2 linked regions of the Coturnix japonica genome follow. The protein of the gene in region 2 purifies or fractionates together with the protein of the main gene of each other region. This does not show direct contact. Links are inferred from orthologs where the notes say so. Each region holds a gene or a part of one and is shown on either strand. Other genes may lie near its edges.

Region 1 (14,605 bases), on a different chromosome or scaffold from region 2:
ATATGCGGGCTGTGTGTAAGCAGGAGGTACACGGGGTGTGTATGGGGTGTGTGTACAGATGCACACGGGCTGTGCGCGCTGTGTGTTGCATTCAGGGCAGGAGTCTCGGGGTTCGGGCTGAGCTCCGGGTGCGCTGAGGACACGGGGCCGAGCTCCGGCGGTTCAGGATACGCCCCGATCTCCCGTTGCCGCTCGGTTAACGATGTGCGGGTGGCTGCGGGCAGAGCACGCGGTGCGGGCAGTGCGGACAGGCGCGGTGCGGGCGGCGGATGAGCTCACTGCAGTCACACCGCCCATGAGCGGGGCTGGAGCCGCCCGGCAACGAGGGGCGGGGGCGGGCGGGGGCGGGCAGCGGAGCCGCCGCGTCTGCGGGAACCACCGCCGCCCCGCCGGGCCGCGCCGAGAGCAGCGGGGAGAGCAGCGGGCACCGGGAGCGGAGCCGCGGGACCCCTCTCCCCCTGCACAGCCCCCCCCCCCCCCCCCCGGGGGCCCGGCGCGGCCCGGCCATGCTCGGCCTGGACGTGTGCGAGGCCGGCGGGCAGCTGCTGGAGCTGCTGTGGCTGACGTTGTGCTACCGAGGTGAGCGGCCGAGGGGCGGCCGGGAGGGCGGGGGGCAGCGCCGGGAGCTCGGAGAGGGTTGGGGGGGGGGTAACGGAGCGGGCCGAGCATCGACCCCGCAGCGACAACAACAGGTGGGGCAGAGCACGGGGAGCCCCGCAGCGCCCATCCCGGTCAGCACCCGGCGCTGCATCCCGGTGCGGTACCGCGATGTGTGGGGCCGCTGCCTTCTGCTGGGGCTTGGAGACGTGCCCGGGGTGATGTGCGGGGCCCCGCGTGTAGCGTGGGCTCCTGGAGTCGGGCACGATGCGGTGGATGGGCCCTCGTGTCCCCCGCCCTGTGTGCGCCCAACATCGGACCATCACCCCGTGGCTTTGTGGCCGTGCCTGCAGCCGGCGGTGGGGATGCCCCCCCCCCACGGTGACCGTGCACGAAGGGCGCTGCGGGCTGCAAACGCACCCCGAGCCGCACCACGCAGCACCACGGCTCATCTCGCTGCACGGCTGTGCGTTAATGCAGCCGGCGGCGCCGCCTCTGGGCTCCGTTCTGCCACCGGGCCCTGGGGACACGCAGCCCGGTGGCATCACCACGGCCCCGAGCAGGGGGGCAGCACGGCTGCAGCATGGCAGCTTGGGGACCATCACCCCCATCCATTTGAGCTCATCTCCCCCAGCCCGGCAGTGCTGGTGTATCTCCGGGGTATGGGGCTCCCCGGGGTGTCCCCGCGCTGCCACTGCCTGTGACCCGCAGACATCATGGCTGACAAGGAGGGGGTGATGCTGTCGCTGGAGGAGGAGGAGGAAGATGCCGACGTGGCCCTGGCGTACAAGACGCCGGAGAAGAAAAGCCTGAGGGAGATCCAGGAGCTGGACCCGGGGGATGAGAGCCTGCAGAAGTACAAGCAGACGCTGCTGGGCAACATCCCCGTGGCCGTGGGTAAGGCTGGGGCTGGGTACCCCACACACACAACACCCCGACACGTCACACCAGGCGATGCAGCCTCAGCAGGCGCAGGGAGCAGCGCTGTCCCCATCCCTGAGGCATCCCCATGGGGAGGGCATGGCCCTAATGCGTCACCCGCGGGCGCTGCCTGCGCCCACCCCAATGCAGGGAGACCCCGGCATCCCCTGCTGTGGGTAACGCTGCCCGGGGACCCCGGTTGCTGTGGTTACAGGATCACCGCTGCAGTTGCCATAGGAACGGTTACGAGGGACCGGGGAATTCATTGGGATGGCAGAGATGGAGCGAGCGGCCGCGGGGGGGATGTCAGCGCTGAGCCCCCCCCACAGCCAGGGGCTGCCCTTGTGCCTTGGTGGGCTGAGCTGTGCCACGGGGCTTTTAACATGGGCTCATCCACAAAGGGTTTGGGCTGAGCTGAGGTTCCCTGTTGCACGGAGCCCATTGTCCTCTGGCTGCTCTGTGCGGCCCATTGGGGCACATGGTCATCCTCCCCAGGAGCCCCCAACCCTCCTGCTCTGTGGCCTGAGGTGCCAACCCCATGGGTAAGGGCCACGTTGCATCACTTGTCTCCAGATGCCAACGTGCCCAACGTGCAGGTGACAAAGCTGACCCTGATGTGTGAGCAGGCGCCGGGGCCCATCACCATGGACCTGACAGGTGAGTGCTGCGGGTCCTCGGTGGCGGAAGGGAGGAGGAGGAAGAGGAGGAGGATGGGTGCCATGCTGATGGGTGCCATGCTGACGGGGCCATCTGCCCCCCACAGGAGACCTGGAGGTGCTGCAGAGCCGTCCCTTCGTGCTGAAGGAGGGGGTGGACTACAGGGTGAAGGTGTCCTTCAAGGTAAGGCCCTGCTCCGTGGGCACCTGACATCCACCTGAGGGCTCTGTGCCTCTCTGGGGGTCCCTGTCCACCTGAGGACCCACACTGCATCACTGCCACCACCAGGCCACGTGCCACCCTTGGCCCTGCTCAGTGCCCATCAGGATCCGCATGGCAGTGCGTTGTGGTGGCTGTAGGGTGGGTGTCCCTCCCAGCCCACCATGCGCAGCCGCTCACAGCCCCTTTGTGCCCCGCAGGTGAACAGGGAGATCGTCTGCGGGCTGAAGTGTCGGCACCTGACATATCGCTGTGGCCGGCCGGGTGAGTGGGGTCAGGGGTGGGATGGGGCAGAACCCCCCGCCCTGCTCACCCAAACCCCTCTCACCCTCTCACCCAGTGGACCGTGATGTCTTCATGGTGGGCAGCTACGCGCCGAGGGCTGAGGAGTACGAGGTGGTGACACCGGCCGAGGAGGTGCCGCGGGGTCGGCTGGCGCGTGGCTCCTACCGCGTGCGCTCGCTGGTCACTGACGACGACAAGACGGAGCACCTGGCCTGGGAGTGGGGGCTGTGCATACGGAAGGGCTGGGAGGACTGAGACCCCCCCAGGTCCCACCATTGCGGGGATCCCCCCCCTGCCGCCCGGGGACCCCTTGCCGCCCGCGCCGCCCCACCGATGGGAAGGTGGGGGGGTCCCTTAGCAAAGCGGGCGCCCGCGGTCGTGGTCTTGGCAACCAAAGTTATTTTTAATCGCCGTTTTTTTTTGATACCGACGCCCGACTCGTCCTCGCGGCACCTCCATCGCTGTGCACTGCAATGAGCTGAGCCCAGCCGCGGGCTCCGCTCCTCCATCGCCATTAAACCCTACAGACGTGTCTCTTATGCCGTGTCCGTGTCCCCTGGCCCTGTCCCGCTGTGGGGACGTGTGTCTGGAAATCCGCCACCTGCTCCCTGCCTTATCTCTGTGCTGGCAGCCAGTAGCGGAGGGCCACGAGCTCCCACGGCCCAGCACCTCCCGCCCCACTGCCCTTATCTGCCCCTCTCCCCTTGCGAAGGCTTTGGCAGTGGGACGGCGCCATGCGGGGCGGCGCGGTGCTGTGGGTGCTACTGCTGTCACTGGCCTGGCTGGGGCGGGTGTGGGGGGCTGAGGGTGGGGAGGAGGATGGGGAGGTGATGGCGACCGAAGAGGAGGAGGGGGATGAAGAGGATGAGGTGCTGTCGGATGAGCTGGAGGAGGAGGATGGTGTCCTGGTGCTCCATGAGCACAACTTCGCCCGTGCCCTGCGCGAGCACCGGCTGCTGCTGGTGGAGTTCTGTGAGTGCCCGTGGGGAAGGTGGGGGGCAGAGCAGGGCTGGGGGGTGTGAGATGCAACGTGAGGGCCTGAAGGACAGGGGTCGGCAGAGGGGTTCTGGGCTTGAGAGGTGGAGCAGGGAGGGAGGGCAGGGTCCTAGGGTGGGGTGCACAGCAGGGATGCGAACCTTATGGCAGAAGGATATGAGACATGGGTCATGGCGGCTCACATGTGCCATTAGGTGCCCTCAGCCTCACCTCTGGGCTGGGGACACCCCAGGGTTGGGGACACCCCCCTTGGCCGTGCTGTGCTGACCCCGGGCCCTGCACAGACGCTCCGTGGTGTGGGCACTGTCGCCGCCTGGCCCCTGAGTTCGCCCGTGCGGCCGCATTGCTGAGGAACGGATCGGAGGTGGCGCGGCTGGGCAAGGTGGACGCCGTGACGCAGACAAACCTGAGCTCTGAGTTCCACATCCAGGCCTTCCCCACGCTCAAACTGTTCCGTGACGGCAATCGCACCCACCCTGTGGCCTACAGCGGTAGGGCTGCGCGGGGGCACTGCGGGGGCATGGGGTGGGTGGGAGGGTGATGGTGAAGGGGTGATGGCATCCTGACAGCAGCAGGTGCTGGTGGTGATGTGCCCAGGGGTGGTGGTGGCACGCATTGGGGTGGTGGCTGTGATGGCCGTAGTGGCAGTGGCAACCCCGCTCCGTGCTCAGGCCGCATGGACGCCGAGGGCATGGTGCTGTGGATGCAGCGCCGGGCCGGGCCCAGCGCCACGCTGCTGCATGATGCCGACACCGCTGCCGCCTTCATCAGAGCGCAGGACATCGCGGCCGTGGGCTTCTTCAAGGTGGGCTGGGGCCGGGCAGGGCTGTGCTGTGCTGTTGGAATGGCGGTGCTGATGGTGGAACCATGCAGGACCTGCACAGTGCGGCGGCGCGGGCGTTCTATGAGGTGGCTGAGGAGGTGGTGGAGGTGGTGTTCGGAGTGGCCGAGGCGGATGAGCTGTTCAAGGCGTACGGGCTGTCGGCCGACACCGTCTGCCTCTTCAAGAAGGTGAGTGGGGTTGGGGTGGTGGGGCTGCGGCGGGGCCTGGTGCTCACTGTCCCACACCTGGCAGTTCGATGAGGAGAGGACGGATTTCCCCGTGGACCCGGAGCAGGGCCTGAATGTGGCCGAGATGACGCGGCTGCTCCGCGTGCACAGCCTGCAGTTGGTGATGGACTTCTTGAATGAGGTTCGGCTGCTGCCCTCCCCAGCCCTGGTGTGGCTGCAGGGTGCCCAGCCTCTCACCCTCCTCCTCCCTTACAGACCTCCGGACAGATCTTTGGGGCCAAGATCCCCAACCACATGCTGCTCTTCCTCAACACCTCTGTAGCCGAGCAGCAGGCACTGCGGGATGAGTTCCGTGCGGCCGCCAGCGCCTTCCGGGGTGAGGTGAGGTGATCCCATGGCAAGCAAGGATGGGACCTGGGGGACCACAGCCTCAGCACTGCCCATCTCCCCCTCCAGGTGCTCTTCGTGGTGGTGGATGTGGACGGGTACGGTGCCTCTGTTTTGCACTTCTTTGGTCTGAATCCCAGTGATGCGCCCACACTGCGCCTCATCAAGATGGAGAACAACCGCAAGTACCGCATGGAGGCAGACGCCTTCTCAGCCACGGCCATACGCGACTTTGTGCGGGCAGTGCTGGACGGGAAGGTGAAGGTGAGCAGATGGGAGCCTGGATCTGAACCTGGCCCCAAACAGGTCCCAGCAGGACATCCCTGCTGTCCCCACAGCCCCAGCTGCTGAGTGCAGAGCCCCCCGAGGACTGGAACACGCGGCCCGTTAAAGTGCTGGTGGGGAAGACCTTTGAGCAGGTGGCATTTGATGAGACCAAGAACGTCTTTGTGAAGTTCTGTAAGTGCTGAAGTCCTGTTCCTGAGCTGCATCGTGGGGCTGAGCCCCTCTCCATGACCTCTCCTGCATCCCCACCCCTCGCCTACCCCCGGTGCCCCCAGCCTGGCTGTGACCTCCAGCCCTGTGCCCGTCACACAGATGCTCCGTGGTGCACCCACTGCCAGGAGATGGCGGCTGCCTGGGAGGAGCTGGGCGAGCGCTACAAGGACCACGAGGACATTGTCATTGCTGAGATGGATGCCACAGCCAACGAGCTGGAGAACATCACCATCAGCGGATACCCAACACTGCACTACTTCCCTGCTGGGCCGGGCAGGAAGGTGGGCAGGGACAGGTGTGGGGAATCCCTGGCACTGCCAGCACCTGGGGAAGGTCAGGCTCAGATGTCACCCTGTGTCCTCCTCCTGTCCCCCGGCTCCAGATGGTTGAATATCGGAGTGCTCGAGACGTGGAGACCTTCTCCAAGTTCCTGGAGAATGGAGGGAAGCTGCCGGAGGAGCCACCCACGGTGAGAGAGGTGCCCCATCCCTGGGCAGGGGCTGCCACCCAGGGCACAGACCCTGCAGGACACGTGGGATGGAGACAGGACACGTCCATCCCTGCCTCACCATCACCTTCTGCAGGTGTCCATGGCCCCAGAGAACAGCACAGAGTCACCGAGCTCATCTGGCACAGCCGAAGCCCGGGAGGAGCTGTGAGTCCTGTCCTGCTGCAGTGGGCATTATAAATGACCCTGGAAATGATGCGGGCTCTGTCTGTGTCTGTGGGATGCAGCTGACAGCCATGTCATGGGGCACATGGCACTGAATGCTGCCTGCTTGGCCTCCTGGGGACACAGTGCAGCTGGTGGGTGCCTCGATGGGGGTTGAGCCCACTGGGGTGTGCAGGGCAGTCGGTCCCATGGTCAGCTTGGCCTCAGGCACCCATGGCACTGAGCATTCCCATGGAGGGGGTGCTGCCTTTGCCTTCCTGTGATGCTGGACCCAACACAGCCCTGGGCACGCTGTGATTCTCGTCCTTCTGTCCCTGCAGTGTCAGAGTGCTGCAGGCAGCCCAGGTTGGCCCTTGTGCTGCCCCAGGCATGGGGCTGTCAGGGTTTCGGGGATGAAGGAACCACAGAAGGCTTTCAGCTTCATGGCCCCAAGGCCTCCTGCCTCACACCTGGGCTGCAATAATGCAGAGCTGCCCCAGGGCTCCAGTCCCAGCAGCTGCTTTCACACCCTGGAAAGGCAGGAGTAGCCCCAAATTGGGCTCTAAAGAGCCCTCTGGAGCCTTTCCAATGCCTGGCTCACAGTCTCAGTCCCCAGCACCATCCCCTCCCCCCTGAGCTGCTGCTCTCCAGCCATAAGCAATGGCTCTGGGACCCCCATGCCCACCCTGTGGGCAGCCCCATTTGTGTGCCCATGGCCCTGGGTCAAAGCAGAGCCCTTCTGTCTGCTCCCATTCTCAACCCACTCCCACGTCTGCTCCGCGGGGAAGGAAGAAACCAGAAGGCACCGGGATGTGGGGCTTTATTTCATTTTATCCAAGTACCTTTGAAAAGATCATTGTACAAGTCAGCACATGAGGATGCACAGGAGACACCAGCAGGGCTGCACGGCCGCTGGAGGATGCTGCGCTCAGCAAATGTACATATTTACAGGGAACCCCCTGAGAAAAATAAGGGGGAGACGGAAATCCCAGGCATGGCAACAACCTCACCAGACACAACACCAGCAGAACTTAAAAAAGAGGGAGGAAAAGACGCTCGTAACACTGTTCCCTGGTTGAAAACGATTGCAGATTTTGCTGGACTTCACATAGTGGTAGGCAAGTCACAGAACCGTGTTTAAAGGCACGTGACGCTGTACAAGAGGCTGAGTTGTCACCCAGCTACTGCGAACCGCCTGCAGGCAGCCGGGTTGTGCCCCAGTGCTGCAACAGCAGTGAGCAATGGGGCATGTGGGCAGGCAGGGTGAGTGCTGATGTGGGACCCCCGAGGAGCTGGAGCTGCGGGCACAGGGTTTGCCCAATGGCTGGTGCAGGGCTGCGGCTGCTGGGGCACAGAGCACAGCCTGGGCTGGTGGGAAGGGCAGGGCTGAGGGCAGGTGGAGCTGAGATCAGACCCATCTGCACCCCAGTAGTTGCCCCTTACAGTGACTGCAGCATTTGGGGGACCTGGCTGTACAACAGCCCCTCAACTCCTTTGCTGCTGGCTTCAGACCCCTCACACTGCTTCCCCAGAGACAGAACCTGACAGAAGACACCGGATTCATAACACGATGGTTTCTGTCCTCAGACTGGAAGTGTCTCATTGGTTTCCTCCCTGAACTACCCCTCTCCTAAGGCAACACCCCTGAGCAAAGCCCAGCCTTGGCACTGGGGTCTGCACACAGCTGCCAGCCCTTCATTGGGGCTGCAGCAACCTCCAGGAGGGAACGTCTGCCCCAAGAGCAGGCACATGTGGGGGACAAGCACAGGGCATGGGATGCCAGTGTCCAGCCCCGCAGTGCTGAGCAGCAGCTGACCCTCACTGGTGGCCCACAGCCCTGCCCTGGTGGAAGGCACCACAGGAAGCCTGCAGCACCAAGAACTGGCACCCACCCTCCCTTTCCCTTGGGGATTCACTTGGTCACAAGAAAGCTCAGGAGGAAAACCACCCCTACCAGGTCCAATAGCTGCGACTGCCAGGGAGGCGAGAGCTCAACTCGTTCAGAGTGGCTCAATAATCTTCAGTGGGGGCCACTCTGGAGTGCAGCAGTGACTTCCACAGCAGCAGGGACAGCAGCTTGTCGGCTGGGTGCACCCCAGCCCAGCATTGCTCAGAGCCATCCACACTGAGGGGGCAGGGAAGGGGGGCTGTGAAAGCGAGGACCACACGGAGTCTGATGGATGGCTGTACACTTTGGGTGCGTTCTGCAGTACCTGCGTGTTTTTACATTTACATAAGAGCACTGTGACATTGGAAATATTTTCCTTTTATTACAATATATCAAAAATATGCAGCTTTAGTAAACAAGTTCATTTTACACTTTCTAATGCACTGTACAATGCTACATTACACTTATATTCCGTATGGAGAGGGAGCCCAGGCTCCCACTGGCAGGTTTGTGGGGGTGAAACGACTTCCCATGGCACAACAGAGCTTGCCCAGGTCCTGGCACAGAGTGGGCTGCACCGTGGGCTCGCCCAGCACCTCCTGGAGTAGCACCGCCAGCGTCTGCCCCAGACCTTCTCCTCCAGTCCCAGAGTCTTTCACAGTCCTTTCCTGCAGCCTTGGAGCCTAATCGATCTTCTCCACCTTCCCAATGATCTTCTCTTCGAAGATGGGCAGGATGGTGTCGTCCTCCCGCACCTCCTCGAAGACCACACCGCAGTCAAACTCATCACTCACTTTCTTAAAGTAATACCTGAAAGGGAAGGAACACGGGGACACAGAGGGGTTAAGGGCCACGTGGGACATCACAGTGATACCCAAACATGGGGGGCAGCTGTGGCTGTGAGCTCATGATGAATGGGAGCAGCCCCAGCAGACATGGAGGCTGGCATCCACCCCTGCCCTCTCCTAGTGAGGGTAGTCAGAATGCAAGCAGGCATGTTGAGAAGCAAACTGTGATGCAGGATATTTCTGGAGGTAGGACTCCAGATGCAAGTCTGAGTTCTACCCTTATTTAAAAAGCACATTCCTGGCTCACTTTGGGACTTACTTTTCTAAGTGAAAGGAATGTCCACTGGCAACCAGATGCTGCCACAACCCTGCAAGGCTGCTGAGAACCCCAGTAGCTCCCCTGACCTACCTCCTTTGCCTTGACAGGATCAACATCCTGGTGGTAGCAGCTGCCAGGGGGTGCTGACAGTCTGCTGGCACCACACTGCAAGTGGCAAACAGCCCTTACCTGTAGTTCCCTTTCTTGGTCAGCAGCTCCTTGAACTGTCCCAGTGTCACCACGCGCCCTTTGACGAGGGTGCGATATGGGATGGGCTCTCCACAGAAGTAATAAGCGACCACGATGTTCTCACATGGCTGGGATGCTCCGCTGCCTGGTCTCTTCTGGGGCTTCAACCTGTTGTACAAAATCACAAGCAATGTCCTGAGTATCGGCCTATGGTGCTTGGCACAGACTCAGCATCATCGGCAGCACTGGGTGCTGGTTGGGGTGAGGGGCTGCCCAGGCAGGGGATGCAGGTCCAGACCTTCATTTATCTGCAGAGAACTGGAGCCTTTCTGTATGGAGGTGCCAAAGTAACACTCAGGGCCCTCAGGAAACATCTTTTACTCTGACCACCTTTCTTGGCATACATCTGTGCACTCAGGCTGGTGAACAGCACTTAGAAAGGCTGGATGGAGGCCAGCTCATAGATAGGAGGAACAGGGCACAGGTTCCAGCTCAGCCCCTTCATGCTGCAGAAACCCATCCCAGGGACAGGCTTTGAAGTGGCTTTCCTGCAGCACTGAACTCTGAGAGCAATTGGTTTAGGCAGAGCAAGGCAGAGCATCACACACCCACTGCAGCCAACCAGTGTCACCACCGGTGTGCACCACTGTGCTTGGGCTTCAGGCTTCAAGGCTTGCTACCTGGACCTCAGTACAAGCAGTGCTTCGGTGATGGCTCCCAGGGCTCAGTCTGCAGGAGAAGCCTTCATATCATAGACAAGGAGAAGAAAGTGCCATCCATATCAGCTAGCAACTCCCTTTGTGAAGCATTTGGAGTTCTCATGTGCAGCTCTGGGATGTGCCAAACCCTGTGTGCTTTGCTGCTCACCCCATCCTGTCTTGCTCCATCATGCAAGGCCTGGCTGGGCTGCAGGCTGGATTTTGGAAGGCAGACACCATCCTCAAACCTCCAGTGAGCAGACCTGGAACCTCTCACACCTTCCTGCCTGTCGGGATGTCGGTCTGCTCCTTCCCTCCAGCCCACACACTGGCATTTGCTACTTGGTGCCATCACCAGATTGAAAGTGTCCAGTCCTCGCCTCATTTTCAGAGTCAGACAAAAGTAGCAACAATCAAAATAAGGGCACTTTGCACTTGTGTGGAGCCTTTCATCTGGGGCGCTGTAAATGCTGCACAAACATTTGAGCAGCCTACACAAATGCGTTGCTTGGCATGTGTGGTCTCAGCCAGAGGCAGCCTTCTCTTTCAGAATCACATAAAACAGATTTGGCAGCTTTAAAATCATTTAAAAGGCACACGGGGTAAAAGGGAAAAAAAAGGAGAAAAAAAAAAGGATGATTTTGTATTTATAGGACTGGAAAGTTGCTATAAGAGCAGAATACGCCAAGCACATGAGCTAATGGCAGTGTTGGAAATGGCTGTGACCTCAACCTTTAAATACAGTCACAGCACCTTTGTAATGGCACGTCCACAATAACATTGGCACTGCAAACCAAGACCAGGGAGAACTCTGTCACCTCTTTCTAAAGCCATGAGAGGTCTAAAGTTCAGCTCATAATGCTCCTGGTGCCTGCTCTGCTCTGGAGACCATTGGAGAAACTGCAGCATCCCAAGAGGTGATGGAGCTCCTTGTGCCAGCACAGCTCTTAGAAGCCATCCCTGTATCAAAGCACAGGATGCCCTTTAGGCAGAAAAACATTAAGGAATTGAATCATCCTCTGGAAAAAATAAAAAATAAAATCATGTGTTTAAAGGAAAAACGGGTCATAAATTCAGGCAAATTCTGTGTATCCTGTGAGCCAGGAGTTAATTGAAGGGGTTTGGAAAACCTCAGAGTCCCTCAGCTTCTCTTAATGCTGCTGGAAACGAGTCATGACTATGAGAGAGCTGCTGGTGCCCAGGGGAGCTGGCACGGAGGCTGGTGGGGATGCAATGACACACGCTGTGCATGCAGCATGGTGCTTAGGCTGCTGGAGGGCAGCTCCTTGGTCACTGGGGGGGCAGGCAGGACTGTCACAACCAACACCTCGAGCTCCCCAGCTCTGCCATGATAAAGCCAGAGCAGGATTGTGCCAATGGCTGGGAGCCTTCCTCCTCCCACTGTGTAATTTGTGCCTGAAAAGCTGCTTTGCAGCCACCTCAGACTGGCTGCTGTGCTCCTCTTCCCCAGGCTCAGAAAGGGGCTGTGGGGACCGTGTGGCTTCTGGAAAGCATGTGAGGGAGAAAGAGCCGCCTGGTTCTTTCTGACAGGACCCCAGGAGGCCACCAGTGATGGGACAAGAGCCAAAGGTTTGGTGCCTCCTTGCAGGAAGGAACATCACCCTTTAAAGCATCACAGAATACACACACGTCCCCAGATCTCTAGCAAACTGAAGCAGGGATGATGAATAAGGAATCATTGACAACACAGTTTTCCAGACATTCCTCCCCTGAGAACATGACAACACAACCATCTCTGCTGCCATCATCGCACAGAAACCTCCCGAGGCCACTTCTAACCCAGATGGGCCCCTGCTGAGTGTGCTGCTCCATCACAGCACGCCTGAACCCTGCCTCATTGGAGCCTCCATCTGCACCCATCCCCTGGGTCTGCAGTGTACCCTCTCCATGAACACACACAATTAACTCTCTGTTCCTTCTTCTGGCCTCAGCTCCCTTTGCAAAGTTTGTCACAAGCAGGAAATGTTACCCAGCAAGATAAATGCAGTGCTGACTGCCTTACTGCACCTTACCCTGCCCAAGGAGCCTTGAGCTGGGGAGGCAGCCAGATCATGGCAGGGGTGGGACTGGGGGGGGGGCTGTAAGGTCTCTTCCAACCCAACCATGCTGTGATTCTATGGTTCTATGACCAGCACTAACTCAGCCTGTGTCAGAGCACAGACACAGCCCAGCTGTGATGCTGCCATGCCCAGCACAGGGGAGGTTTGCTCCATCCCAGCCCTGGGGCCAAAGAGCTGTGGAAAGCCTGAAATACAGCCAGCAGATGTTACCTCAGGAGGTGTCCCAGCATCCAGCTCTGCTCCTCTTCCAGGCCTGGCCCAATCAAACTAATTCCAAACCAAGCTCACGCTAACATTTTTGCTGGAGAGACTAGAAAATTCTTTTGCTGCTTACGAAAATCTCTTCTCTGCAGAGCTGCTACTAATTACTTCTTCCAGCTGGAAACGTATGTGCACTGTGACAGTGAGCTACAGAAAATGGCTCAAAAACTGACTGCACAGGCAAGCAACCACCGGGACAAGGCTCTCCACCAACACAATGGGCACAAGAGGTCAGGTCAGCCAGCACTGGACACTTCAGCTTGCATAGGCTCCCAAAGATCAATGGCCCAGCCTCAAACACTGTGAGGAGGCAGCACAAGTGTGAAAGCAGAACGGCCCAGCGTGGCTCAGCCTGTTCTCCTGCTGGTCTGAAGGGCACATACCACAACGCCATGGGGTTTCTACAAAAGCTGCCAAGTTGTTATTAGAGTATTCAAGACACATGCATAAAGCCCAGGCTGGTGTTTCCCAAGTGTGCATCTGCACCTAGACGTTTCTTGGGAAGGTGTATGAATTTAATATGACTATAAATGACTCCACAAATAAACCTTATCCAATTACACCAAGTGAAAGTTAGATCAAATAAGCCTGGCCCAAGCCGACGTGGGAGAGCCCTCTAATTATTTAGCTTCCAATCAATGCTCTGATATAAATATGCAGAAGTCTGCTACATGACCACTGCAAGCACAAATAATTGCAGCTCAGCAATTAGAGGAGCTTGTTCTTTAAATTACACTCATGTTTCTGAATGTCAGACTCCAAAGTTTAGAGTTTTCAGAACACAGCTATAAAGCAATGAAGTGACTACAAGCAATTCCCATTGTGAAAGGTTTTTAATGGTCAAAGTGCTTTTAGTTCTTAACAGTAATTATCAAGCACTTCCAAAATGTTTTTCATCTGAGAGCTCTGTGTGCCTTGCAACTAATCCTCCCTGAAAGATAATACGGGAGCAGAAGAATTAGCTCTGCAACAGGCATTGAGCTGAGTCACAGGAAGCTGCAGTGACTTGGATACAGGCATGCAGAGAACAATACTGCTGCAGCAGTGTGCAGCGCTCCCCCTGAGCTGCCACAAGCTTCCTTTGCTGGAAGATTGAATGAGATGTAGATAAAGAGCACATACATATTCTTCTGCACTTAATTTTGCTGCATTCTGCTGAATTTTGCCACTGCACCAACCAAGAACTCTGCAACCAGTGTGTGAACGAACCACGAGTGTGCTGGTGAAGATGAGGTGAGTACAGCAAACCGGACGCTGACTAGTTCTACAAAGAGCGCTCTTCCCTCTCATGCTATTTCTAAACAGGCTCCACCTGCCCAGGCTCATTCAGAACATTTCCAGACTTCCAATCCACAAAACTCAAGCCCAGGCCTTAAGGCAGCTTGTGGCATTTGCCTGTCAGAAGCCATGTCAGAGAGAATGAGGAGGCTTCCCTGACCTCTCTGCAGGTGCCTCCACTCAGTTAGTGCTGGAAACTGGAGCACAGCACCTCCCATGGCTCCCCAGTCACAGAGCAGCCTCCCCCCTTTTCTCCCATGCATACTCAGACCCCATGGCCATACCTTTGTTTCAGTGGGAGTTTTCCAGCTCTCTTTTCCTCCTCCTCCAACCTCCTGCGAGCTTCTTCCAACTGGGTGAGTGGGTTGGGTGCTGGGTTGGGTGGCATGGTAGGATCTTGGATGAAAGGATGTGAAGGCTGGACGACGTTCCGGAGCTGGGCACTGACCCACGGATGCACTGCAACAGGCCGCTCAATGGAGAGGGGTCGGACCATGTCGTGGGACAGCTGCTTCTTAGCACCTGAAGAGCTACACACAAATACAAAGGTTTTACACAGGCTGCTGAGTCACTCTGCACACGTGCACGTCCAGATGATACCATGAAATGCACAATAGAAACAAACCCAGCAGAAGGCAGCTCAATGATGGATCAAATTTGTTCAGCAGGATCCGCCAGAAGACGCCCTGATGTGCACTGCCAGGCTGTGAGCCACTGATGGGCAGTGGATGTTGCAGCACTGTGCTCATCCTTGCCAGCCCCTGCGGCACTGCCCATGGCTCTGGCACGGCCCCAGCTGCCTGCAGAGCAACTTATCTCAGCTACTATTGTGAAACAAGGCAAAAAACTGTCCAGAGGATGCTCTCAACAAGCCCAAACG
Region 2 (15,435 bases):
GTTATCAAAACAAATTGCAATGGATTTGACAGGGTAATGATGCTGACAAAGTTGTGGTAAGCTGGATAGCTTGCTTACAGTCATAACTCTAAAGACATGCAGCTTTCCAATTAACCTCTTCACCTCCTTGCTCTTGCTGCTATATTTTAAAGTAAAAACGAGGAGACAGCAGCACTGTTGTTAGCAAACAGGGCCTGATACCACTGTGCCACCGGCTGGTTGCCTCTGTTGCAGATGCTGAAATATCACTGCCCACAAGGACTCCTAATCAAATATTTAAAATATATTTATTATAAAAACCAAATCCACAGAATCTATTGTACAAAGGCACACTCTTATCTTTACAAATCTTTATACAAAATAGCAGTTATTTCCAACAACTGCACTTTTGTTAACACCAAGAATCGTGGTTTCGTGACCAGAAAACTGTTAGTGTATAATGGTCTGAAGTGATGAAAGCCTCAAAGAAACCTTATGACAGTTCCAACCAGGTTCGTTTGTATCTTAAAGGCCACCTTTGGAAAACAACTGGTAAAGACCTGAAACACGGCAAATGGCTTTCACAAAAAATACTGTAATGACAATCTGAAAATAACGTCAATGAAATCCCCAAATACTAAAGCGTCACCTGTTGGCACTTCTTTAATAACTCGTGTTTAACGCTTTCAAATTGCTGCCAAAACAAAGATGGAAATGAATGTCCACCTGGAATAATGCATTTGAGACAAACCCCAATATATTACAAACTCAAGATATGCACGCCCTAAAAACCCCTCAGCTGTCTGTTTCAGTTCCACTACTTGTGGACGCATTTGAGCTGAGGAGAACCAAACACTGTGTTTACTCAGAATCATTAGAGTGCACTCAACATAGGATTCGTGGGGCTTCTGTCATTTAAAGCTTTAATTTGTTCCCCAGTCAATGTCTGAGCTGCTTAAACACAGAAGGCACTTCAGTACTAGGTTTGGTTGTCCTTTGTAGTAACAGATCCTACAAAATGATACACATATAAAGCTGTTATTATTAGGTTGTTTGCAGAATACACGTTTTAATATAAACATAAAAAAGATTGCGTGTGTTTACCATAAAAAATCTTGGTAATCTTTGTATATTCAGGTACATTTACAAATAGCAGCAATTACAATACAATTAGATAAGTAAAAAAGCTGTCTGGGTTAGAGTTTAGTCAATGATGCCCTCCAAATCTCACATCCAACAGCAAAGTACTTTTCCACAGCTTTTGTTCTGACCTCTGCAGGCTGATTAATACCATTTATGACTGCTGCATTCGTGGGTGCAATTAAGATACTTCTGCTCTCGTTTACACATTGCAGGATCTCTGTACAAATACAAGTGGGACATGGTGGCCTTCATTGGACACAGCTTCCCTGGGAGCATCAGTCAGATTAAGGTACATCCATAGGGGCACTCGTTGAACAGACATAAATGCTGGTGAGCTGGTCCATCTCTGTAGCTATGAGACTTGATTTTCTTCTCTTTCAAGGCGTGTTCTCTGCACATATTTCATTGGTGTCAAGTGTCCTGTTTAGGAATTGTTTCCGTCATCTTCTATCCAGCAGGATTCTGTGCTGGCTCTGTATGTGGCTCCTGCCTTCTCAGGCGCTGGGGACAGCCCGGTTGTGGTGTCTTACAGCCATGGGCAGCTGGGAGTATTGCAGAGGTGGGACACAGCATCGGAGGAACTTGGTTGCAGGATGAAGAAGCCATTTGTATAAGCTTGGTTTCCATCATTCTTATCAGTAGGTTTAACACTGATTTAAATCTGTTTCTCCTCCCCCTGCCCAGGAGCATGATCTAACATGAGCAGATCCACAGCATAGTTGGCCAACAGCAAAATACACAAAGTAGAGCAGAATACCCTTTACAAAACCCCTTCAGTACATGTTCTTGGGAATGGGAATGAAAATACCTATGTATATTAATGATACTTTTAACACGTGGGAAACACCTTAAAGCTGCTCAGTTGAACTCCCGATAGTCAAAGAAAGGGTATTTTCTATTTAATGACAAAAGCGTTGCAGTATGTAAAGGAACACTAACAGAACAGCAGGCACTTTGAAACTTGTGGAGAGGACTGCACTCATCATTTATAGTGCACTCATTATTAAACAGAAACAACTGAATAACCGTTCTGTAAATGTCTGTCATGTTGGATTATGGCTTGTCCGAGGCTCAGCCCAAACATGGAAGTTTGCAAAACGTCCCTCAGCACCGTAGCAACAAATACATTATTTCTAATTCAGGGCTCCGTGCCAGGCACTCCTGCGTGTTATTAATTACTGGGAACATGCCTGCCTTCTGTTTTCATTTCCTGACATTAATGGGTATCACTTGTTGTACAATTATAAGCACAGCTACTCATTTGGACTGACTCAACACATACTCCAACAAAATGACTGACATCAGAAAAGATCTGCTTCTGATAATGCACAGAGCACACGGGGCACACAACGTTGTCAAGTCTGACCGAGCACACTCGTAATGTACTACAATGCACTCCACAGGCTCTGATGCAGAACAGCCCCAGAGCTCTCTGTAGCAAAAGGATTTGACCCTACAGGCAGAGGGTGAACGCCCAGGTCACTGGTAGCTCAGCACAGCATGGCCAGCCCTTAGCGACTGCTGCCATGCACAGACACTTCAGAGTTTCAAATTCACACCAACTCTGTGCTTGAAATCAAAGGATACCTTGCCAATGATGATCATGATTTTTAAGTCTGCCCATTTACCTTACAGCTTCACATTGCTACTGCATTTGTTGCACAGACAGAATAAATTCAACAGAGAGAAGATGACCCTCATAGCTGCCTTTGTGACTGCACCAGAAGGCAAAGAAACAGCTCTCTGCTCTGAAATCTGCCCTTAGATGTAACACAGAATCACCCAGTTCATTTGCCCATTACTAGCTGCTATACAGACACAGCTCCATTCTCCACCCCAAGCTGCTTTAAAGTGCTAATATACAGTCGTAATGGGCTCTGAAAATACTTCAGTAAACTGATTCAAGTACTCAGATGCTCACATGGAAAGTCCAACCACTTGCAGCCCCCTGCAGGTTCTTGGTGCAGAACTCCTAGGACACACCAGGATACCTCAAGCCTTTCTCATAGCACCCTTCTGCACTAACAGAACCACACCTGAACCTCAGCAAAACATAACTTTTCCCTTCTTATTTCCCGCTCAGCCCTGCACTGCTACAACTTGCCACACACCTTCAATAATTCCACCCAGCACTTTCCCTCATCCTGATCTAGAAGCAGCAAGCATCTGTTTTAAAAGTTTTAGCCTGAAGGTTCACAGGATGGAAAACATACTTCACTAAAAACACACCAGGGGATATTTCTGGAGAAAAGCAGCTCTTCTCTCTCAAATATACGGTCTTTTTTGACAGCAGGAGTGCACAGATCTTTTAGATTAGACAGCCTACGGCAACAAAAAGCAATATTTTATTCTTTAAATCCTTAGATGCTACATATTTGCTTACAAGTTCTCTTCAGGAGAGGCTTTTCAAGTCAGTTCCATGGAGCAGCGTGGAACCTGCATTCTGATCACAAAACCTGAAGCGCCTCAGATGAAGTGATTGCTCAGCAAACATCAGCAGCAAGAGGTTCCGAACATCCAATTGAAATACAATTAGCACACATGCTTAATCCATTCCATTCAGCAAGTGCTCGCTTCCTTCTGAGTACTTAGGGGTCAAGTTCCATTGGTCCTTAAGTCAGCCTGACTCTCAGCTAATTTTCTTGCACTCAACTCCAAACTTTATAAGAGGAGAATAAGACAAAGTGGTTGGGATTGCTACAGTGGCAGCTCTTTGAAACCATCAGTGGTTTAAGGAAAGGGGGAAAAAAAAGTAATCTTGCATTCAGTGTCATCACAGGAACACAGGAATATTAGTATGGTATGGCTCTGTACTAGAACTGTAACATGAAACAATGAATACATTCATTACAAACGACCAACAGTTACGCATAAAACAATGTATGGTGTTAACTGCAAACTTTGGCAAGGGATGGGGGAAGAGAATCCATTCTTAAACTCCAGTGCTGGATTCTCCAGTTCTCTATTTTTCTCCACAGGAAATGGTGGGCATCATATTTGTGCCAAACGCGAAACTCAGAAGCAAAAATTTAGCCATGAAGGTACTGAAATCTACTTGAACAGTTCCAGTAATGCAACAATGACAGCACCAATATTGTCCTTTAACAACACAGGAAGAACAGACCTGCACTAACAAATCTGTCAACACAGACTGGATTGGAACTCCATGGTCCTAGCCCCACCACTGCAACAACCTTTGCCCTTGGAGTCCTAGGCGTCTTTTGTTCAAAAAACACCGACCCAAACATAATTTAAAGTTCAAAAAGGAAAAACCTCTTGTTGTTGCCAACAATATTAAGGCTGTCAAAGAGTCACCACGTGTTAATTCAGCAGCTGCAGAAACAGGTGCAGCTCTGCATATTCAGATTTTCCCTCAGATATCCCAGGTAGGCACACACATCATCACTGACAGAGGTGAAAACTGCCATTCAATACCCAAATCCCTTTGTTACAACAGGAGATGAATCAAAGCAAAAATCTATCTTCTGTGCTGTGAAAGGCTCTTATCCCAGCCTCCCTTTCACAAAAGGGTTTGGCCTGAGCTAGAAGCAGGAGCACTTCACTGATTATGGTGTCCCAAGGATACAGTAGTTTGTTGCAGCTTCTTTCTTTTAATACAATCGGATGTATTTGCCTTCTCTCCTTCCGCCCCATGCTTTTAACGTACTTAAATCTAGACTAACTTGGTGGCAAATTTTGATGACATGACTAAACTGCATGAATGGCAGATGTTTTGGTTTTGAGCTCAACATGTCCTACAAACAAACAAACAACTTTCATCACTTCAAACACAAGCCACTGTATTGTCCCGCTTTGGGAAATGAACACTGGAGGTGAAGCAATTCACTGTTGAATTCAACATGGGTAAACATCTCAAAGACCCAGAACAGAGGAATTACCAAACTTCGGGGTGAAAGGTGAGGCACCACTGTATTTTGAGAAGTCACCAAAGCCTCACAAGGAAGTAGATGCTAGACAAGGAGGAAAGAACCCGGTTTCATTCAAATTAAAATGGTGAACCTGAGCAAAGCTGCAGTTTGTCAGGCATTTCTCTTGTTAAGAGCCCCTTGCTCTCACTGGCAGGCCATTACAACTTCTACTATCATGCACTCAAAGTGGGAACTGACTGTAGTTCAACCAAGCATTTGAAATCTGGGTATGTTTCTAGCTCCTATCAGTTCCAGAACCAGTACACAGTACGGTACTTGTGTGAGTCAGGACACCATGCCTGTGTGAACAGCCGATTTGAAAGACTTGGTTAAAATAGGTGTTTTTCCAGTTCAGTGCTGAGCAAATGTAGACCGGGATTCAAAATCCAGGTCTCAAGACACAGGTTCTGCTGGGAAGCACTCAGCTCACTGGCAAACAGGAGCTTATGACAGTGGTACACTTTGCATGTTTTCTCCCAGTGATGTACAAGGGATGAGAGACTGACAAACTATTTAAGCACGTTTTTCTTCTCTGTGAATATTGGTCTTTAGCCTCCTCCTTCCACAAGCCATTTCACTTTCTTTTCTCACATTTGTAAAAAGAATTGCATACACTTTGCGTGTAAAAAGGTGGTTTGAAATGCAAAAAGGCTCAACATTGCCTCCCCAAATCCTTTGGGGAATAAGTCAGTTCCGTGATTTCAAAAAGGCAAATATGGCACAAAAGAAGGGAATTTAAGTTAAAAAAATCAATTTTATAAATATTCTTCCTTTGTACAATTTTCACAGCCCCATCCCTCCCACCCGTTTTTATTCACATTTCTTTTTCTTTTTCTTTTTTTTTTTTCCTTTTTAATTCCCACCCCTTTTTATCTTTTAAATCATAAAATATATATTTAAAATCTGTTCATATTTAAAAATATTTACAGGGAAAGTTCCTTCTGTTGAGGTCATGAGGAGTCTGTACAAGGAGAGGGTGGAGGTGGGTATAGGTGAAAATAGCTTCGTTCTGTGGCAGGAGATGGAGGGCAACTTTCTTCTGCCGACATGTACTGGCTGCGAGGTGTGGGTGGAGGGGGGTAAGGGTCTGAGTCTGAGTTTAAATCTATATAGTACTTGTTGGCTTTCCATCGACTAGTGGTATAGTCACTGTCACAAACATCTGTGCTGCACGGGGTTGTGGGTGGAGCTGTCCCTCGTATAAGGTAAGGCCTGCGAGGTAACAAAATAAAAAGCACACGCATTAGTTGTGATTTTTGAAAAAGGGAAACAAAGACATTGAAAACGAATGCCTACGTCCACAGTCAAGATGTCAGATGTTGCTTCATTCTATATCAGCTGTAGCTCAGGTTTTCATGGGAGCCAAATGAGAAGTATTTGAACTGTGTTACAACTGAATGGCACAGCAACCTGGAGCTCGCAGTGCATTTTGCCAGCTTCTGACCTGGTGGTACATCCATAGGTTTGGGCAGCAGAGAAGACCAACGTGACCACTTAGTTTGGTCCCAAGAACTAACAAATAAGTTAAACCCATCAGAGCAGACCAGACCAAACCCTCCTCACAGGATGCCAAGTGGCCACTACAAAGCAATATAAATATAAATGCGCAGATACACCCTGTTGCATCAAAATAAGAAACAAAGCTAACACTTATGGGTCACAAATAGCATAATCTCAATTTGAATGGTCATTTATTAAGAGAGGCAAAGTTTGATGGGTTTTTTTTCCCCTTTTTTTTCTTTTTTTTAAATCAAGGGAAAGGTCTAAACGAGAACGTTCTGTTTAAGATGCAAAAGTAAAGGACAGACCAATGGAATGTGTATCAAACCTTTTTATCTGAGCTGTACCTGTAAGATCTTGTGGTTGAAGGAATGTTTGAAGAATAAAACATCTCTGCATTATACAGGGAGCGATCGGTAGCTGGGGACGGAGGCGGGTTCAAGATCTAGGAAGATTAAAATCAGTATTTCAGTTTGAGTTAATTGCACAACTCTGCTTATTTTGAAAATATAATTTACTCCTTCAGTGAGTCACTTGACATTATCTGCTATTCCTCTCATTGCTGCTTGGGCGGATTGATGCTTATTTTTTTATTTTTTTTTAAGATCATATGAGTTAATTAAGAGACCTTATTTTGGGTTTGGATTTATTAAAACAAATACAGGGCAGCAGGTGCAAAGCCAAGACATTTAGATTGCTCAGACTGCTTCTTTTTGTAGTTAACGTAAAGCTGGGTAAACACAAAGCTACCAGGAAGAACTGACAGTTGGGTCAGCAGTAACTTTAAGATAGCAAAGCCCTCACAACAACTTCTGTATTATAATCTGGCATGGCACTCTTTCTGAAGGCAGACATTTTGTCCCTGCAGGTCCTGGCTCACATAGCACTGAATTGGAAGGGTAGAAGAATTCCAAGTAAGAGTTTAGTTTAGGCTTGTACCCCCAGTGGAAGAGTTTGGCCAATAGAAATATCAAAACATAATGGTACAGGCAGATCAGCTCCTGGGCTACTTTTGTCTTTTAAGATTCATTTAACTAAGAATTTATTTTTTTTAATAAATCCACCTACACTTTTTCTCTTCATCCCTTTACTGTGGCACTGATGCAACAACTGGGTGCTAGCATGAAATTGTACATCAAGTTACACAGATTCTGGTGAAGCACGAGAGAAAATTAAATGAGGAGCTCTGCTGAATTCCAATATCTGAGTCACAGCCTTATGTTCAAGACATACCTGTGGGTAGAAAGTGGCTTTAGTGCTGGATGAGCTACTAGAAGAGGCTCCAGTAACATGGTTTCTGTCATATAAGGGGGCACCACTGCTCCCTCCCATGAGGCTCATGGAGCTCATCATAGACTTTCCACAAGAGATTCCTGCAGTGAGACAGAGAGGAATCCAAGGTTAGGTAAACCACAGTTTCATCTATTAATGCAAACCAGAAAACAAATCCAGAGCTTGGCAAATCCACGTAACTCTACTGGTTGTTGCTTTTGGAATGATCTTCTACATAAAAGCTTCAGGATTACAAAGAACAACATATTTTCAATTTTATATTATGTAAAGCAAACACCTCACCCCCAGACCACCTATTGTGACCCTGCAGCTCCTCACAAAGGAGTGCTCTCAGTCCGCTGAGAAAGGAATCTCCAGATCAGTTGATCCAAATTTTCCACCCAAATTGCTAACGAAGAAATTTTCCATCTAAACAGACTTGAGTATTTGCAAAAATAAGCACTATACACTGCCCAAGAGAAACAAGCCAGAGACATCCGAAGTTTTCATTTCCATCCAATGAAATTCAATTGCAAGTACAAGAACAAGAGCAAGGAAATATATATATACTCTTACTGGAAAAAAAACCCCACTTTTTTAAACTGAAAAAAGGAAGGATGCCTGGGTGGCAGAAAAAGGGGAAAACAACACAGTCCTATTTTTTTTTAACTTAAATCATATTCTCATTCTTCCCACCAAAATATTCAGTGCCAACGGAAGAGCTGAGCTCAGAAGCTTTCAGAAATGTTTCAGCCTTGGGAAATACTTAGGAAAAGCAGGATGATTCTCTTTGTGACCACTGTTCATGACCAATCACTTTTCTGAAGCACCGCGCTTCAACATACGTCTTCTCATTAGAATTAACATCAGTGGTCAGACTGTCACTGTCACAGCAATAACGAGCCATGAAAATCTATGGCAGCCAAATTAGAAAGAAATAACAACATTCTCCTTCAGTCTCAACTTATTATCTGCACACAGTTCTCTGGACGGATGTTTTGATTACTTGGCAAGGTAGAGAAATTCTGCTTCTTTAGAGATGAAGGCCTGAGACAGAGAGAGAACAAACACATTGTCCAAAAGCAAACAGGAAATCTGTCTCAGAGATGGACTAAACCAAAGGGGATGTTTTCATTACACCTCAGGCAACAGTCAGCTCTTAATAACCTGCAGAACCTCAAATCCAGACAATGTAATGGTGCTTATTAGGGTTCTTACCATCCTTACCAGTAAAAGTGCCATGCTGAGAACTTCCTGGCGCAATAAAATTAAGAGGGACGTGAGGCGTGCCACTGACATACTCATGTGGAAAGGGACTGTTGGGCCCGGCGTAGCGCTGACACACTACTCGCTGGCAAACGAAGTACATTCCTCCCATGACAAAAAGGGAAAGTATTATTCCAATGACGGGACCAATGGCACTGCTGTGGGGCTGAGGTTCATCTGAGGATGGCTTTGATTTTTCTGGAAAAAGGGGAGAAACAAAAGGATGTCATTAAATATGGCAATATATATCATGCTATCCTGGATATTGCATAGTACATAAGTCAGCACAGTCATTTACATCATGTCTTTGAAAGTCACTGCATCTAAACTCAGCCATCTCTTGCTACATAGATTCTGATTCTATGCATGAGACTTCTATCCCTACATGTAAATAAAGCAGTAACAGCAATGTATTCTTCTTTCTGTCTAGCAATTCACCTTGTAAGAGGATTACTTGTCATCTTGATATAACAACAGCCAGTAGGATTTTGTTTCTAAGATCTGACTGGTAGGCAAGCTACAGAATGCATGGAGCAGTGGATGTCTTCCTAGCTAAAAGCTCTTAAGAGGTGACATTTTAGGATGTAAAAGTATTCTTAGTGACTATTAAGAACCTTACAGATTGGAATAAAAACACACAACCAGAATATCTCAAATACTTTCTACTACTAATTTCTTTTTCACCCATATAGCCCAGTGTTAAATAATAAAAAGTCTTGCAGTACTTGAGATTTGATACGTATCATTCTCCCACTGACTACATTCTAAATTCTTGCCCTTCAGCTGAAGGGAATGTAAAAGAACTGAAAGCTGAGAAGGAAGACAAAGGAAATGTAAAGAAGTATCAATGAACTTTTAGCAGTTCAACATCAAGAATTCATTTCTGTCTTTCTTATTAGTGCATGACAGCTCATAGGTCAGCCAAGGACTTAACCTTTAAATAAGCACATTAACTCCGATACGATACCAGAAAGAAGGCAAACCCAGAACTAAAACAGATTCTTGAATTAGCCAGTTTAAACCACAAAACTCTCATTTTGGTTAAACCTAGCTTCTTCTACATGCAAGACCTTCATCCTGAAAGTAGCAATCATTTTTATTTCCTACTTGACTTTCCCTCAGTCAATCAAGAAACCACAGAATGCTCTGTTCCACAAAGAAACTTCAGAAGAGGCAGTCTTATGTCTACATAAAAACCCATTTAAATCAGTTAAGTCCTAATTGCAGGACTAGACCCAAAGTGCAAGCAGGAAACGTTTGCATTAACTTGGCACCACAAAACTTTTGCCAAGTGCACAAAGAAAATAATTGAAAAATAAAAGTGAAAGAAAAAGTGGCTCCACAGTATCCAAGGAACTGGGGGGAACCGAGTGAGGGCTGTGAGAAACGGGATATGTGGGAGGATCAGAAGAAGCACGTGCAATCTGAGATCTACAAAAGGAGAGCTAAACAGATCCTCTAGTTCTGATTCTTTTAGCCTTTTCTCTCTTTGCCACCCCGGCTATTTTCAGCACTCTTGCTCATGAAACCCACCTAGAAGATAGAAGGAAGAAACTAATTTGACCTAGTTAGTACAGGGCTGAGATTCATCAGGCTTCCCTATGTAAAGACTGGAGCTTTGCATTCAGCTGTAAGGTGTTAGACCTGAAAACTAAGCACTTGGTCTCAAGCAAAGACATCTCACCACACATGAGCTCATCTGAGCCATCAATGCAATCCGGAAAGGAGTCGCACTGTTGCTTCAGGAGGATGCACTGCCCACTGGCACATCGGAATTGATTGAGCAGACAAATGGCTGCACAGAAAGAAAGAGAAGATTCAGTATGACTTGCATGGCACTGTTCAACAATCTTAAGAAAACCAAAAGATGTCAGATATGCCGAGCCACAATGCACTTTAAATTATAAACAGGCAGGCACCAGAACACCTGTTTTGCTGCAGTAGCTTAAATTCAGTCAGCACTTTTCTCATTCTTGCTTTGTACCATTACACATTCTACTTATTGAGAATGATATAAAATTCTGAAACACCACATTTTTGTTCAGCTGAGGCAAAACTGAAAGCAAATCAGAAAGGACCTCCTACAGTAACTAAATGGGTGTAACTGATTGCCTGACATCTTAAAACATGAGGTATCTGAAGATATAGTCATATCTTACATAGTCTATACTACCTTATATCATTCTATCAAATACAGCTCTGTTATATTCTTATCTATAACCACAAGCCCCTGCTTCAGTAAAATGGTCTTGTTAACTGATTTCAAATTCTATGTGAATTCAAACTATATTAAATCATCAGAAAAGAGACTGTCTTATGAGGGCTAGTAATCAGCAGCCCTCGAAGGTTCACTTTGTAGAAAAAAGCAGAATCAAGTGGACAGTTCTGCCAGACTGCCAAACTAAGGCCGTTCTTGCCCATTTGAAACCAAAAATCATGAATGTGTATCAAAACAGACAGAATCCCAAATAGGTGCTTATGTCAGAGCCAAGAGAAGAACATGATTCTTACTATCACAATCCACTTCATCAGATTTATCTTGGCAGTCAATTTCTCCATTACACCTCAGATGTGCATCAATACATTGTCCTTTCTCACACTGGAACTGAGATGCAGAGCATATTGGGCAACTATCCTCGTCGCTCTGGTCATCACACTCTGGGAATCCATCACACCGCCACGCCATTGGGATACAGTCAATCTCTCCAGTTGCACAGGTAAACTGGTCTGGGGAACAAGTTGGAGGTTCTGCAGAAAGAGAAAACAAAAAACACTTGTGCGTTCAATCAATTTTAGCCCTATCAACAGAGTGCAAATGTGATGGAGAAAAAGTTGTGTATGCCCGGACTGAAGTTATTCTGTAAAAATACAAACTGTTTTTGAAGTGCTGTTGTCCTTCATTAAGGAGAAATGTTTAAGAATGAGACTCAAGTAAAATCAAGTGCTTCAAAAACAAATATGCCAAGTAAAAATCCATACGTTTAATTTTTGACATTCCTATGGTTTCCAAGTTTCTGAGTTATGATTACTGGGCGTAGCAATACTGAGGTTTACAAACCTATCCAGTGACCTGGCAGCTGTAGATAAGGGAAGGATGCCAGATGGATGCATCAATGTAATTCTGACATTAGTTTGGGCAGCAGTGTACTGTTTAGATAATTCGGCAGACAGATTTCTACTTGTGCATCTAGAGCCACGAATTTGCATTTAAAACCTTGTCAAGTGTGTTCACGAGAATATATGAACAAAATGTTCTCCAACCAAAATGGCTCTGTCAACCAACTCTGAAATACTTGCTTATGAGCTACTACTACTGCAGGCAAGACAGATTACAAAAGCTGTTGCAACCTCAGTGAAGGATGAGAATGAAAACAAATAAATAAGAAGCAGAGACTGCAAGAGGCCCCTTAATTTTAAGGCTTACAGGGGAAGACAACAGAGCAGTGGAACAGAAGAATCTCTCACTGGCCACGTTTTTCAACAGAAGTAGATTAAGAAATATGTTTTATTTTTCCAACTGCAGATGTAACCTCCACTACTCTACAACCACATAGTGTGTTGTGGTCATGGGAAAGAAAACAGTTTATAATGGAAAGGACTGTCCCACGGGAGGTCAGAGCTCAGCCAGAAAAATGAAATCCACAGCAAAATGAATACATTAAAAAAAAAAAAAAAAAGCCCAGAGGACCAAAAGAGCCAAATAATTTAACATTGGATATCTCCCAAAAAATAAGTATTTTTTCCCCCATTTTTAATGCCCTCTGCAATAGTAAGGTAACAAATATCAAAATACCTGGGGCTGTGAAAGGGAATTGTAAAGGGAATGCCTACCATGAGGAAAGACAACAGTTACTTTAATTAATAAGAACTGCAACTGAGGTTTTGAACCTCTGTCATTAACTAGACAGCATGGTGTGTTACGTTACTATGTTATTTGAAAAGCTGGAGTACTGCAGGAATCATACATACAGATTCAACTGCCAGATCATCATGGCTTATCAACACTGTTATATACATTCATTTATGGCACAAACTGTCACATCATACAATAATGAAGAACTCCACATTCTGGATTCAGATGCAAACTCCTGCAGGAAGTTCATATAATTTTGTATCACATGGAAGTCAAGCACCTTGGCAGGCAACTTTCTTGCAATAGTAACTATTTGATTTTGGCCATTCTGACTTCATTCAGTTGTTTTTGAAAATACCATCATCCAGATAGACAGTTCTCAAAACCCAGCAGCACGTCATAGACCAAATTTGATATTCCAGTGATTCTTAATTTTTTTTTCCCCATTGTAAACCACTTAGCAGTGCTGTTAAACACAACTCACCTCCGCACGTTAAGAGATTCTGCAGGAGCACAAGGTGCTCTGGGCACGAACATCTTGGAGTCCCATCCCCTTTGGCAATGCAGATATGTGAGCATCCACCATTGTCACGGGAGCATGGATGTGCAGCTGGAGAAGCACACAGAAAGAATGACTGGGTGGTGTTAAAAAAAAATTCAATTAAAAAAAAAACAATTTAACATAGTGTTGGAGATGTTACTGTTTGAAGCACGGGTTGCAAAGTGCCCTCATGTACACGCACATGTTTACTTTTACTCTCCTGTTGTAACAGATTTCAGATGTAAGAAAGTGTGTCCTTTCAGTGCAACCCCAAAGAAACATTACCCTTGCCATAATAAAATAAACTTTCTTAAAACCATGTGGGATATAAAGCCCCCTCTCTCCCTTTTTTCTTATGAACAGTGTTGAGACTTAAAGAAAAGTTGTTTTTCCATCATTATGTGCTACCTCTGAAATGCACTAAAGTAAGAGAAATGGCACACAAGAAGAAAAACTGAGTGTTGTGAAAGAAAAAAGAACACCTGGTTAAGGATTAGCAAATAGAATCAGCTACAGCTTAAATACGCTGCCTTCCTTCCAACAGTTTACCCCTGTAGGCAAGTTTGCACTTAACTGCATCCTCCCTGTATAAGACTTCTACCCCCAACCCTTCACATGCTGGAAGCATTACTCCTCTCCAGACCTCAGACCTGCATTCCCTTACTCTGCCATACTGTAGTCTTGTACTCCTCCATCTTTCCACAGGGCAAGGTGGAACATGGGTAGAAGGGAAAAACTTTACTGACTACTGCCCAAATAAAGTAAAGATGTTCCTCTTCCCAGGTTTCTTCACTCTGTGTTCAGAGTGCTGTGAAGGGAGAGAAATATGAAAGACAGGGTTCATCTGGAAGAGTTCACTGCTTCTCTCCCTGCAACAGCAGTGTATCCTGAGGTAGCGACCTTATTGGCCTATTTCCTTGAAGGAGGCAGCATGAGGACAGATGAAGGCTTCTCCTGTCTCCCAGGTACCCACTACAGGATAATGCTACACATAATGTTTGAAGTTTAACAGAGCACAGGAACTGAGTCAAGCAAGCCAGAAAAACAAGGTCCAACGTGACCAACCTCTTTCAGAATGGAGCACCTAAAATGGCTCAACTTCCATTCAAGGAGAAATTCCACATCCACAAAGGCAGGATTTCAGAGCACGCTGCCCATTCTCCTTCCCTTACTGAAGGCTTTCATACCATCAGTCATGCTGAGTCAAACCAGTCATGATTCACAAACAGATCTGAAACCCCACGAGAAAAGGCAGGCACTGTTCCTTTTTCTATCTTTATAAAGGTATTTCCAACTCACTTACTTGGTTGTACTTTAAAAATTAGCAATCATTAATTGTTTCCAAACAGCTTTTAGAGTTAATTCACTACCATGTGAGCTGGTACAAAGCAGGTAACTAAGTGCTGTGAAATCGCATATTCTAGCTGGGCAAAAAGGCCTTCTCTGGACTGAGAAACTTGTTTCTCCTCCTCTATTAGAGTCCAGCCCCCAAAGTTGAAAGCAATCCATGGCCTAACTTAAAGCCAATAATACTTAAACACACAGCTGGATGAGGAGCTTGAGACAGAGACCAAGAGTGAAAAACATCAGGTAGTTGAAGAAACTCACAGAATTCCTCCATATCAAGTTCCTCCACAGCATGAATGCCTGTTAGGTGCGCAATTCGGCCTTGAATTCTAGTCCTTTTGTACCCATTAGTTTTCTCCACTCTCTCAATCATCTGCTGCTGCCGATCAATCCAGTACAAGTGATTCCCCAGCACTGTCAGGCCCATTGGCTGAAGGATGTTGGAGTCCTCCAGAGTCACACGGTTAGCACCTGAGAGCAACAGAAACCATTTCTAACTCATTTAAAAGACAAACAAAAACCAACAAAAATAAATAAAGAAACACCACTTCTTGAAACATACGGAGGCAGTTTCTGAGGTTTTTAAGTCCAGTTCAGCAGCCAAG

Evidence for each region.
Region 1: the proteins of LRP5 (region 2) and AXIN1 purify together in Homo sapiens (affinity purification with western blotting; 3 studies listed by BioGRID). This does not show direct contact. The link is inferred for Coturnix japonica from reciprocal best matches to the Homo sapiens genes LRP5 and AXIN1.

The regions. Positions count from the first base shown.
Region 1 is NC_029529.1:10,801,950-10,816,554, reverse strand, and holds the end of AXIN1 (axin-1), read right to left. Parts: intron 14,256-14,605; coding exon 14,010-14,255; intron 9,576-14,009; coding exon 9,408-9,575; intron 8,922-9,407; coding exon 8,795-8,921; 3' UTR 8,469-8,794; downstream 1-8,468. Other genes in the region: ARHGDIG (rho GDP-dissociation inhibitor 3), read left to right, coding at 507-579, 1,309-1,494, 2,092-2,175, 2,282-2,358, 2,595-2,658, 2,735-2,934; PDIA2 (protein disulfide-isomerase A2), read left to right, coding at 3,414-3,651, 3,960-4,166, 4,347-4,480, 4,549-4,686, 4,751-4,867, 4,942-5,067, 5,143-5,337, 5,412-5,532 and 3 more. UniProt on the Homo sapiens protein: Component of the beta-catenin destruction complex required for regulating CTNNB1 levels through phosphorylation and ubiquitination, and modulating Wnt-signaling.
Region 2 is NC_029520.1:8,241,686-8,257,120, forward strand, and holds the end of LRP5 (low-density lipoprotein receptor-related protein 5), read right to left. Parts: intron 15,302-15,435; coding exon 15,092-15,301; intron 13,553-15,091; coding exon 13,427-13,552; intron 11,838-13,426; coding exon 11,601-11,837; intron 10,885-11,600; coding exon 10,774-10,884; intron 9,288-10,773; coding exon 9,042-9,287; intron 7,925-9,041; coding exon 7,785-7,924; intron 6,997-7,784; coding exon 6,899-6,996; intron 6,264-6,898; coding exon 6,002-6,263; 3' UTR 1,024-6,001; downstream 1-1,023. UniProt on the Homo sapiens protein: Acts as a coreceptor with members of the frizzled family of seven-transmembrane spanning receptors to transduce signal by Wnt proteins.